Linked DNA regions of Mus musculus. The protein of the gene in region 3 interacts with the protein of the main gene of each other region in a biochemical or structural test. Links are inferred from orthologs where the notes say so. Each region holds a gene or a part of one and is shown on either strand. Other genes may lie near its edges.

Region 1 (4,268 bases), on a different chromosome or scaffold from region 3:
CAGTATATTTCAAAAGGAAGAAAGACATCAGGCCTCTACTTGAGCACAGGCTGGAAACTGGACGGAGGAAAGATGGATCCTGAGAGTCCAGCCTGGGAGACTATACAGTTAGCCTGTCCGTGAGCCGCATAAGCTCTCATTGAAGAAAGGCTCTCAGTCATTAATGGACAAGTCTATTTTCTGCCAGTGACAGGCTGGAGTGTGTGTGGGGGTCACTCCTGTGGAGTTAGTGTACTGGTCCCTGGTCTTTAAAGTTCATCTCTAGCCAGGGATGTCGCCTGCTGAGCTTTCCAGAACTTTCACTTCAGGTCACAGAGAAAGTCAGACACTAAGGGTTACAGTCTTCAAACGTCGCCCACAAGAGGGCAGTGGCCGGAAGCACGTTCGCCGGCCCTAGGAACCGCCCGATGCTTTCTGGACTCCAGAGTACCGTTCCCAAACCGACTGAGACTGGGGACAAAGGTCCGGCACTCAGCACACAGCCCCCTAGGACTGGTGTCTGGTAGCGGAGCTCTGGAGTCCTTCATTCCAACTCCCTGTAGTTTGGCATCTGAAACCCTGACTTGGTGGGAGGCCAGTCAGAAGGTATCAAAAACAAAACAAACAAACAAAAAAAAAATCGAGCCTGACCTCTCAGGGCGAAAGGGGATGGCTCTACCCCAACCCCACCCTCTGGTGAGTCACCTCTCTCCAAACCAGAGCCTGCCTCTCCTGCGCCCCGTGCCAGGCGAGCAGGGCTGGGCGGGTACTAAGGTGGGCTCCATCCCTGAGCCCAAGGCGGGCCGACAAGCTGCAGCGTGTCCCCGCGGGTGTCCCTGTTTACTCTGAGCCCTGGAGCGAGGTGGGGGCGGGTCCATGTGGCCACTCCTTCACTCCGCCTCCTGAGGACGCAGGCCCCAATCCCAGACCGGTTCTTACAAAGTCTCCAAATCAAAGCTCAGCCTTTCCCGCACCTTCCCGGCGGACCGGCCACCCCTGCCCCCACCCTAGGCTAGGGAGGCACTGTCTGGGTTTCCCCAAGGAAATCAGGCCTCCGCCTAGACAGCGGCTCGGGACCCCACTGAGGGGATCTGAAATCCTGGGGTGTGACATAGAGTTTTAAAGAGGCACTAGAGCGCAGCTCTCCTTGCCCCTTACCCCATTCCCACCCTTGGCTCTACCGGCTCTAGGGAGCGCTGGGATGAGGTAGACGCAGTTAGAGGACAGGGTGCCCGGGGACTCCCACTCTCGGACCGCTTCCCAGAACTCCAAAGCTTGTAGCGCCTCCGACTCCCCCTCCCCAGGGCAGCGCGCCAAATCAGCGCATGCGCACTGTCAGGATTGCCGCGTAGCTCTTTCTCCCCCCCCCCCCACCTCTTTTTTTCTTTCCCCGCCCCTTCCCTCCTTCCCTCCTCTCCCTGTCCCCTCCCTCTCCCCTCTGAACACCCCCCTCCCTCCTCCCCCCCACCCCCCCCCCCCGCGGCACTTCAGTCAGGGGAGCAGCGGTGCGAGCTCCAGGCCAGTGCACTGAGGAGGCGGAAACGGGGGAGCCCCTAGTGCTCCATCAGGCCCCTACCAAGGCACCCCCATCGGGTCCACGCCCCCCACCCCCCACCCCGCCTCCTCCCAATTGTGCATTTTTGCAGCCAGAGGCGGCTCCGAGATGGGGCTGTGAGCTTCGCCCTGGGAGGGGGAGAGGAGCGAGGAGTAAAGCAGGGGTGAAGGGTTCGAATTTGGGGGCAGGGGGCGCACCCGCGTCAGCAGGCCCTTCCCAGGGGGCTCGGAACTGTACCATTTCACCTATGCCCCTGGTTCGCTTTGCTTAAGGAAAGGATAAGAATAGAAGAGTCGGGGAGAGGAAGATAAAGGGGGACCCCCCAATTGGGGGGGGCGAGGACAAGAAGTAACAGGACCAGAGGGTGGGGGCTGCTGTTTGCATCGGCCCACACCATGCTGACCCCGCCGTTGCTGCTGCTGCTGCCGCTGCTTTCAGCTCTGGTCTCCGGGGCCACTATGGATGGTGAGTGAGATTCCGGCGGCCCCCATGGACCCCTGGGGGCTCCCCCTCCCCAACCCCCACTCCTGCGTCTGGATGGGGAAGGGAGACGCGGGAGGGGGTGCCTTTTGTTATCCCAGTCCAGCTGACACAGCAGAGGCCTGACTGGGGGCGGGGATGGGGTCTGATTTGGGGGATGGGAGCCTGGGACAAATGATGCTTCCAGGGCCCCCCAGCTCAGACAAAGACCAGAGGCCTGGGTAGGAAAAGAGGGCTCCCCCTTTTTCTGATCTTGGGATTAAGAGGCCTTCTCTTCCTATCTCTGGTACGGGAGGGCCTCTGCCTCCCCTACATCCTCCACCCTCCCGCCCCCCCACCCCCATCTGAATTGTGAAGGAATCCGGATTTGCTGTGTACCGCTGCAAAAGGGGGCGGAGGGCCTTTTGCAGTGGACTCTGAAGGCTGGAAGGCAAAGCCGGCTAGGGGTGCCCTGCTGGCCAAAGGGCAGGCAGGCCGAGAAAGCTGTGGGTGGGGATAGGCAGGGCCCCCTGTTTGGGTGTGGAATGAGCCCTGCATCCCAGGCATGGAGGCCCGGGTCCAGAATCCTGGGCTGCCTGCCTGGGTTCCGAAGTGAGCAGCTCCCCGCTGAGGGCCTCAGTCAGGAGCCCGGTTGAGGGATGGAGGGGTCTGGTGACGCTTATGGCTGGCTTTCCCTTCTTAATTCCTGGGAGCTTTAAGATGAGAGGAAAAACGTCAGATGTCATCATTCTGGAAGAGACTGGAGAATGGTCTGGAACGCTGGGGAGGGGTTCAGAGGAAGCTCTGTCTCCCCGATTTCAGGCTTGATCACAGTTTGGGTTGGAAGGAGAGTTGGAGGTTGGGATGGGGGTTATGACCATGCCCCCAATCCTGCTCATTTAGTAAATGTGTAAAGCCCAGCCCTGTCTCACTTCATACATACACTTTGTATATTAGTTAGGTTTGGGCTGCTGTGTTGTTTTGGGGGAATTGCATGCCCCTCGTCCCTATTTCTGTCAGCTGTTTTTCCTCTTCCATGAGTCCCCAGTTCAAGACTTGCCCAGGCTTCACGCTGGGGTCATGGGGTTGAATTGGGCTGGGTCCCTAACTTGAGAAGGGGTGAGATTTTGTGACTTCCTGTCAGGTTTGCCTCTCACTGAGGACAACAGCTTCGTAGCATCTTACAGCCCTCCTCTGCCTTCAAGAGCTTGCCAGGCCGGGATTGGGAAAGTTTTTCTCTGAAACTAGATTATGTATCCTCCCCCACCCCTGTCTCTAACTTGTTTCAGTTGTGGGAGGAGGACAAGAGGGTCAGGAGGCAGCTGTGCCCAGGAAAACAGTTTACTCAGTGGCCTTCAGTCATGTCATGTCGGGGACTGTCTTGTCTAGCTGCCACCCCTAATTTTCTGCCTGCGATGAGGAAAGAGACTTTGCCCTGTCAGGCAAGCCTGTGCAGCCACCCTCTGTCCTTCACATCTAACGTCATCCCGTGCTTTCTTCTTGGTCTCAGAGCTGGGATGGGAGAAGAAGGGAAACTGAGGCAAAGAGCTTTGGGAAGAAAATGTATTAAGCAAGAAATGGACCTGCCAGAAGCCCTGTGGAGGAGGGTGGATGGAATCAGGTAGAAGGGAAAGATGCCCGTGGAGATGTGTGGCTCATTCAGTGCTGGGTCCTGGGAAGCAGAACCCCCAAGACCCTAAATGCTGGGCTAAGTTGATAGGTGGTCATTGAATGAGGAACTCTGACACGTTCCCCTTAACTGTCTCTAGCCGCGTACCTCTAAGTCTCCAGTTCATTTCAGCTCTGCACACAGTTTCTCAGGGCTGGGATAAAGGTCAGTGGTAGGGTATTTGTCCTAGTGCACGGGATGCCCCCTGTTCCATCTCTGGCAAGAAATACAGTCCGAGAGAAAGGACTACCTCCTGGGGAGGAAGAGAGAACCTGTAGAAAAGTAGACCCCGTGCATTCTGGAGCTCTTAGCCAAGCCCTCTAGACACTGAACATTCGTCTTGGCTTTCTAGAGAAGGACCCTTCTGCCTCGACCTACCTAACAGTTCTAATTGCCCTTCCTGTTGCTCAGGAATAACTCTAGGGACCGCCCCATACTCTCTTCCCTCTGTGTCTGAAACTCATCCGGGAGTCCTTTGCCTTATGGGGTGAGAGGCTTCACTTCCTCCTGGTAGACACATTTGGATACATTTGTAGCCAAGGAGGATGGAAAAGGCAGAGAAGGATCATTGACAGCCCTGCTGAGATGGGACACTTCGTGGTGGAG
Region 2 (4,165 bases), on a different chromosome or scaffold from region 3:
CCGTTGATGCCTGACAATGCTGTCCTCTGCTGCATATGCAGCTGGAGCCATGTGTATGCCTTGGTTGGTGGCTTAGTCCCTGGGAGCTCTGGGGGTCTGGTTGGTTGATGTTATTCATTTGATCTTCCAGGAGAGAACACGGCATGGGATACTGTTGATTGACTGTCAATGATATATGCTTTTCAATGACATATGACTTTTTTCTTGATGATGAAAGCATCTGGCATTTCAGAGAAAGTTATTAAAAAGTAGAGCCTGGAAGCTGGGCGTGGTGGCGAACACCTTTAATTCCAGCACTCGGGAGGCAGAGGCAGGCGGATTTCTGAACTCAAGGCCAGCCTGGTCTACAAAGTGAGTTCCAGGGCAACCAGGGCTATACAGAGAAACCCTGTCTCGAAAACAAAAAAAAAAACAAAAAAACAAAAAAAAAAAAACCAAAACAGTAGTGCCTGGTACAAATACTGGCTTCACTGTTGTTGTTGGTTGTTGTTGTTGTTGTTGTTGTTGTTGTTGTTGTTGTTGTTGTTGTTGTTGAGACAACATCTTTCTACCTGGTCTGGCACTCAAGCAATCTTCCTTCTTCAGCCTCCCTAGTGCAGAATTACATATGTGTGCTACCATGATTTGATTTTTGTGTGAGATGCAATCTGAGACAGAGTTGCTTGCTTTCCCTCTTGTCCCCATAGAATGTGGTCCCAGCTGCCAGGTGTCCCCTGGGCTAAGGTGCTAAAATGCTGGCTTAAGCTTGACAACTCTGTTCCAAGCCTGAACCCCTGCTACTACTCTTTTGTGTAAATAGTCATGATTTCCATAGCGGTGAGAGGACAAAGAGGTTAATGAACATAGAAAAGTCTTCATGGAATTAGGCAACATGGCAACCTTGACCTCTAGAGGGAAATCGAAGCCAGATCCAGCAAGTTAACAAGTGACCAGGATCGGAAGCAGGAACACTTGAGAAGGTAAACACAGACTCATCTTTGAAAGCCTACCCTCTCCCTCTCTGGTGACTCCATCCCTCCTCAATGCTCCAAACTGGAAAGCTGGGTAGAGAGTGTGGAGTTGGCTAATGCCCTTACACTGTCAGAGCGCTTGCTGTGGGCATAAGAGATTATGGAGAAATGGAACATTTTAGACTTCTGTTCCATTCCAATTCAAACGCCCACCTTGAGAAGACCCAAGCTTTGGGGAGCTGCGGAGCTGCGTGTGATTTGGAAGGCATACAGTCATCCTGCACAGCGTGTCTAGGCAGAGTTGGGCTAACCTGTGCTAAGAGTTCTCGGGGAGTGTGCCAAGGAAGGTCTCGGATGACGATGGAGAGGAGAGAGCCCTCCTGTTTGGACCATCAGCTTTGTGTCATGTTTATTGGTGGACAGCCGCTGAGATCCACCCAAGGAGCTGCCACTCCAAAGACATGTCCCCAAGAGGAACCGAATCTTTTCTTTTGTATTTGAATTTTTTCTCCAAATCTTTATCTCTTCTGTTTACCTCCAGGGCTCTTGTAGAAAATAAAGTTTAATATAGTATATTGATAAGGAGACTTGAAACAAATCTTTTAGTAGGAAAATTATTTCTTTGTAACAGACTAAATATAGATGGGTATTACCATCAAAGCAAAGAGGCTTTTTTCATTACTATGGTGTGTGTGTGTGTGTGTGTGTGTGTGTGTGTGTGTGTGTGTACTTGAGTGTGCAAAATTAAATCTCTGCTGAGCTTGATGGATGACACTTTTTATCCTAGCACTTGGGAAGCAGAAGTGGGCTTCTGAGAGTTAAAGGCTAGCCTGGTCTACATAGCAAGTTTCAGTCTGGTCAGGACTATATAATATGACTTTATCTCAAAAAAAAATCAATAGTTTGTTCACAGTTGTGGAAGAAGCGTTTTTATCCTCTCCCAGGCTATTTCTGTGCAATAGGAAATGAAAGTCAAGCCATTTCTGTAGATAATGACAAGTACTTTGACAAAGACCTTATGAAGGAATGCCCCTCAATTGGCAGAGATACATGTTGATCCTACTGCAGAGAATCTGGTTCGGAGTGACCCCTAAGCTTATAGTGTCCCCAGTGCTAGTTTCTACACACACACACACACACACACACACACACACACACACACACACACAATGTGTGTAGGAACCCTGACCTCTAAATAGGTATTTGTTTAATTACTGCAAATACATGACACTTTAAAATGGACCTATGTGACTCACGGAAGCATCAGAGGCAGATGTGTACCCATGCAAAGCCTTCCTTCAGCCAAACAGAAGATCCCAATGGAAACAGGATGGCTCAACAAAAGTTTCTAATCAGTCACACTGAAAACAAGGCAAAGAGGTAGACCATCTAAGCCCACTAACTACCACCACCAGGAACTGAACCCAGAACCTCAAATATGCTAGCCAAGTGCTCTACCACTGAGCCACATTGCCCTTTAGTCAGACCCCTCCAAAATCCCCCTTCAATTAGGTTTACAAAGCCACTGGTGGCTTGCTCTGCCTGTCCATCCCTACCCAAGCAGTATTCACAGGGAAACTGAATTTATATGTCGAACTCCTCAGTCTGACACTTTAAGCTGAAAGTCCCATAAGCCAATAGCTCATTTAAATGAATTGCCCAAAAAGACACAGCGAATCTATTTTTAATGGATGGCTAGAATTTTTAAAAAGCGGAACGAAACCTGTGCATCAAAATCTTACCTGGTTTCAGAAGCAAGAGAAACAGAAGGATTACTTCCTTATGGTCCATGTTGGGACTGGCCAACAGCACCTGGACAACTGTGTCCTAGTTCCTGGTGTTGACTTAAAGGGGAACAGAGGCATCCACAAGCAAGGTAGTCCAAATAGGTTAATTATTCTCTGGGGCCCCCACCACTGTATGCAGAAAGAGCAAACATTACCTCGAACAGGGAGCTTACAAAATGTTTGAGCAGAGCCTGTGGTAGATGCTGGAAGTGATGGCAGTGGCCTTCCCCATTGGACCCCTACACCCTGTTACACCTCTCCGTCCTCCCTCTTCCCTCTTACTTCCTCCCTCCTCCCTCCTCCCAAGCCACCATGTTGCCAGTCTCCTCTCATTTCTTTCTCTCTTCTTCCTTTGCTGAGTGCCTCCCATATGCCAGATTCTGCCAAGTGGTCCATACTCAGCCTCGTTTGACCTTACTGGCAATCGGCTGTACCCTGTTCCCATTTTCAGAAGAGGGGCCTGGGGTAACACATGATGTCTCAGTGTGTGTATTGCGTAAGCTGTATGAGCTTGTTTTTCATCCGTTATGTTGCGAGTAGCGGTTGGTTTTGGTTTGGTTTGGCTTTGGTGACCCCTCAGCTCTCTCCCAGCCCTGATGTTGACTAAGCAGTTTGACTAAGTCATATCATTTTTACAACACCGTCATATTCACGCCGCTTTCAAACTTAAGCAGTACATAACTTCTGTCCTGGTGTGTTTTAGCCCTTGACCCACCTGTATAGTGAGACTCGGCATTGCCGGGCAAGGGCCAAACCATGGAGAAGCACCACTAGCCTACTGTGCAGTGTTGAAATCCGTTTGTGAGTTGGAAAAAGAACTCAGTGGTAAGTGAAGCACTTACTGCTGCTCCAGAATTCAAGTTCCAGCACCCACATCAGACAGCTCACAGTCACTCATAACACCAGCTCCAGGAGATCTAATGTCCTCTTCTGGCCTTTGAGGACACACACACACACATGTGTGTGTGTATGTATGTACGTATGTGTATATATAAGTATATACATATGTATGTGTATATATAGATATATACATATGTATGTGTATGTAGGTATATATGTGTGTATACTTGTACATATACACATATAGGTATGTGTATGTGTATATATATGAATGTATATCTGCATTATATATATGTATGCATATGCATATATATGTATTTATGCATATATGTATATGTGTGTATATGTATTCATAATATATGTGTGTGTATATATACATATATATGTGTGTGTGTGTATATATATATATATATATATACCTTCCGCTTCCCAGTCCTTTCTTAATATCCCCTCCAGTGTGGATCTCTCCTCCATAAGAACTCGCAGTATCATGGTAATACCCTCAAAAGTGGAGGGATTCAGCTGAAAGACTATCTTTTTGTTTATTTGTTCTTGTTGCTTTGACATAGTCTCCTACTGTAGCCTGGG
Region 3 (4,262 bases):
AGGGTAAGAAGGACGTTGGTAGCTGCTAAGAAATAAGATGTAACGTATTCGATAGCTGATTCAAGGTTTCAACAGCTGATCCCACCAGCCTACCCTTCGGGTTCTGGGTTATAAAAGACATTTCCTTTGGAATGACAGAGTGGGTGCGAGCCAACTCTGCTCCCCCTGAGATATTGTGTATGCACCCTACTGCTTACATTAATCAGGGTGCTTTCGGTGGACTTCCCCAGAATTCTCCAAATCTTAAAAAACACAGGGGTACTCACAGCTGGAGCAGCCTTTGTTCCTGAGAATGTCTTCTGGGGTGGTTCCAAAGACAAACCTCACATTCTGCAGCACCCCCTGTGGGCAGAGGACAGACGTGGTTTAATGCTGGGCGTGGGGGTGGGGCGGCCAGTCTGAGTTTGCTTGTGGTGAACGCTCAGAAAGTTTAAAAGAACTTAAGATCATCCTGCCAAACTATCACAGAGACATAAATTGCCGAACAACTTCAAAATCTTAATTGTGTCTTCTGCCAACTGGAGCATTTTACAAAGAATCCAGTTTTCAGGCTGCTTGGGGTACACAGGAAATGGAATTTGATCCCAAGTCTGGAGGACATGATACTCTCCAGTGACAAAGAGTTAATGTGGGCGTTCAAAGCCACGCTTGTAAGAAAAAAAAATATCTGAAAGTTAAGGCAAGTAAGGAGTCCCAGAGGCACATGACTGGACTGTTATTCATGTCTTGCCTTAGATCCATACTGAAAGCACCCAGAACACCCTGCCCAGGGACTCAAATACTGACAAAGTATCCTTTTCATGCCCTATTAAAACTGCTAGGTACATTTGATACAAGTTACTTTCCTAAGGGCACAGGGAGTACCCCATTCTGAAACAGGCTGAGTGTAATAGGAAAACCATTTCTTATCTCTCCTGATAGCTTTGAAAGCATGGGTCCCAGGTCCTGGCACCATTACAACTTATTTCTTATTAGGAACAAAATTTCTCGGGTCCCTATCAAATCTGAAACCCTGGAGTTTTGGGTCATCTGTAATATGATTTAACCAACCTTCTGGGGGTGTCTGTTCCTCTTTACATTTGAGAATCATTTTTAGTCTACCGATATTAATTCCACATAGCCCTTGTGACAGGTAAGAAGATTTACCTGAAAATTGTCATTGACATCTCCCTTTGCAACTCGGAGCCTGGCAACGCTGGCCAGATCCCTGGTGAAGATGCTCTGGATGGGTACATCCAGCTCCGCGCTCTCCATCTTATCACAGTCTATGTAGAGTTGAGCCCGGTCCTCTTGAACAAACAGCGTGATGCTCTTCCACTGGCCAGTGGCCAGGAGAGCTTCCTCCACTGACACCACTTGTTGCTTCCCTGGCAGGCTCAGGCTCAGGTCCAGGGTGCCAGCTTTGCCGTTGGAGACCACACTGAAGATCTGGCCAGTGTTGTCTTTCCGTTCCACAGCCAGGAGTGTGCCCCGGGTCTTCTTCATCTGCCTCAAGGAAGCCAGGAAGATGAAGCCTTTGTCGGCCCACACAGCGTCCAGTAGGTCTTGGAACTTGTCATCCGGCACAGCGGGGATCAGGTTGGCATTCTCAATGCGGAAGGCGGGGCTGGATAGATCTTGGCCCTTCACCAGTCGGCGACCGGGGCCCCTTCGTGCACCTCCAATGAGTTCAAAGATGTCAAACACACCGTTATCTCCCCCAGACTCTGTAAGGAGAGAGAAGACAATCGGCTTTCTAGGCTAGGTATAAGGGGGTAAAGTTCTGGCTGTGAGGAGCCAAGGTGGGAACTCGTGACAATAATGGCAATTATGGAAAGCTGAGCGAGGGAAGCTGCATCCTTATCAGGAGATAAGGACTCCAAGGAAACACAGGAGCTATCGAGAGAGAGAGAGAGAGAGAGAGAGAGAGAGAGAGAGAGAGAGAGAGAGGAGAAGGGGGAGGAAAATGAATATATCACAAACTCACCTGGAATGCGGTTGCTTCCACACATATGCAACAGGAACAGGACACCTAGTCCCCGCAGGAGCTCCATGGTGGAGCCTTTGTGCCCAACACGGAGCCTGTAGCAAGAAGCACAGGAGGCCAGAGTCAGAGACCAGGAAGCAAGGTGGAAGGGCAGAGGTGTGTGTGTGTGTGTGTGTGTGTGTGTGTGTGTGTGTGTGTGTGTGTTTCTTCTTTTGCCCCATATGTGCTGAAAAAGAAGGGTTTACTTTCCAAACGGTATCCAGTATAAAAAGAGCGCCAGAGGCAGGGGGATTGTTGGAGTTCCAGGATAAAGGGTATAAAGTGACTTGGGTCCGTCCCCTCCCCCCCGCCCCTTTAGACAAGATTACAGAATGTATTTTGGATGGCGACAGTCAGGGGTAACCTGGAGACTACTGGGGAGAAAATCTTGGGGTGTCTTGGAGGTATAGTTTGTGAACCCGAAGGCTGAAGAGAACCAGCTCCGGAAAGTTCTTTCCAGGGGATAGACGGGGCAGGATAAAGGAGTTAGGAAAACCAGAAGGGGAAGAGTAGGAGATGAGGAGTAGCGCTGATCATCTGCAGCCTGGGGCTTTGAGGTGGCCGGCCAGGTGCTCCGCAGAGGCGGGAGGTTTACCTGTGTGCACCGGGGCTCAGTAACCCGGAGAGGTGGCAAAGGTGAAGTGAAGGACAAGGACGCTGAGTCCGGTGAAGACGCTGAGACTGCCGGTGCGCCGGGAGAGACCGTGGCAGAACTGGATAGCAGCTTCGCGATTGCCTGCAGAAGTCCGATGAGGCTGGCTGACTCCAGGCAGTGGCTGGCTTGACTGAGGAGCCCAGGACCTTTTAAAGAGGCAGGAAGCAGGGAGGGGGGAGGGTTCTCGGGGGCGGGGGCGGGGGACGGGGACGGACGGGTTCATTTCTCCGCCCCCTGCTGCTTGGCGCACAGCTCTCGGGCTGAAAGTGAAGGGGGAGACTCCGATCCCGCACAGGAGCCCTGGAACTTGTCAGAAAAATAGGTCTCCGCCCACGCAGCCTTGGCGTACTCAGCCTTTAGCGCTTAGGATCTTGCGCCATGTGAACTGGAGACGTTCTGCATGAGAGTCCCCAGACGCGATGCTTCTTTGGGGACCACCTAAGACCCTTTAGGGAGGCTTTCATTAAAGCACATCTCCTTGAATAATTCCATGACAGAGACGCTTGGGGATCGAGACAGTCTGGTTTAAAAATAAAAGAGGGCAAAAGGTTGGACCCCTTAAAGGAAGCTGCCTCCTGAGTCAATCCTGGTGGGTGGGGGATCCCATGTCATCTATACTTTGCGCTTCACTCCTGTCCCGCACGCCTGCCTTCCGTCTGACTCACTAAGGGTGTCAGCACGGTGTTGCACAGGGCCAGCAGGACCGTGCACGGAGGTCGCCTTCCGACTCACTGTCCAAGTCGAGAGTTTTTTCCCCAGTTCTACTTTGCTTCCTCAGATGGCCGCTTGGGGGCGGTATATGTATTCTGATTTAGGGGATCCTTTCGGAGAGTTTTTAGCGGCATTTTAAGGAAGCGAATTTATATCCCGCTCCCTCAAGGCAAAATTGAAATTGTGTCTTGAAAAACAATTTTGTGCCCACTCGTGTTTCTTAACGTGACTCCCGATAGGAGAATTTGCTGAACCATCTGGCTCCAGGATCTTACACTATTTACAGAACGGACCCGTAGAGTTATAAATTACTCTCTACCTATTATTTTATTTCCCATCTTTCTCCCTAAACAGTTTTTTTTTCATTTTTTCGGCTCCCAAAACCGAGGTGTGGTTTACATTTCTGTGGGTATACACTTTTCCATCAGTAGACTGCTGCCTGATCCTTTGTCTCTGAAGTCTGGTCTCAATGCCATCGGTCCGGAGCCAAGATGACTCCAGCTGCCTGGAATTCCATTCATCTCTTTGGGAAGGGACGTCAGCGGCGGCGATGCTTCTCCAGCTGTGGCCCTGCGTGAGCAGGCTTGGCTCTGAGTCCAGGGATCCAGGTAAAAGCATCACCAAATAAGGATCTTGGCAGAATCAGGGCGGGGCCGGCTGAGGGACAGCTGGGGCTCCCTCCCCTTATCAGTTACACCTGGCTGGACTCCCAAACCTTGGAAACACCCAGGACTTTATGCTCATCACACAGCAATTTCACTTTCCTTGTGTGGGAGGGAGTGTTCGGTGACAAGGTGTGTGAGTGTGCGTGGTATGTGTGCGTACACGCAAGGAGGGGCTTACAGAGTGTTTCCTAGTTACTCCGGGTACACAGCTACACAGCCAGTGCCT

What was found.
Region 1: the proteins of Thbs1 (region 3) and Lrp1 form a complex in vitro, tested with the Homo sapiens proteins (3 studies listed by BioGRID). The link is inferred for Mus musculus from reciprocal best matches to the Homo sapiens genes THBS1 and LRP1.
Region 2: the proteins of Thbs1 (region 3) and Plg form a complex in vitro, tested with the Homo sapiens proteins (2 studies listed by BioGRID). The link is inferred for Mus musculus from reciprocal best matches to the Homo sapiens genes THBS1 and PLG.

What each region holds. Positions count from the first base shown.
Region 1 is NC_000076.6:127,618,349-127,622,616, reverse strand, and holds the start of Lrp1 (prolow-density lipoprotein receptor-related protein 1 precursor), read left to right. Parts: upstream 1-1,468; 5' UTR 1,469-1,929; coding exon 1,930-1,999; intron 2,000-4,268. UniProt on the Homo sapiens protein: Endocytic receptor involved in endocytosis and in phagocytosis of apoptotic cells. Required for early embryonic development. Involved in cellular lipid homeostasis.
Region 2 is NC_000083.6:12,377,244-12,381,408, reverse strand, and holds the start of Plg (plasminogen precursor), read right to left. Parts: upstream 2,801-4,165; 5' UTR 2,742-2,800; coding exon 2,693-2,741; intron 1-2,692. UniProt on the Homo sapiens protein: Plasmin dissolves the fibrin of blood clots and acts as a proteolytic factor in a variety of other processes including embryonic development, tissue remodeling, tumor invasion, and inflammation. In ovulation, weakens the walls of the Graafian follicle.
Region 3 is NC_000068.7:118,110,414-118,114,675, reverse strand, and holds the start of Thbs1 (thrombospondin-1 isoform 1 precursor), read right to left. Parts: upstream 2,801-4,262; 5' UTR 2,601-2,800; intron 2,062-2,600; 5' UTR 2,034-2,061; coding exon 1,967-2,033; intron 1,707-1,966; coding exon 1,147-1,706; intron 343-1,146; coding exon 267-342; intron 26-266; coding exon 1-25. UniProt on the Homo sapiens protein: Adhesive glycoprotein that mediates cell-to-cell and cell-to-matrix interactions.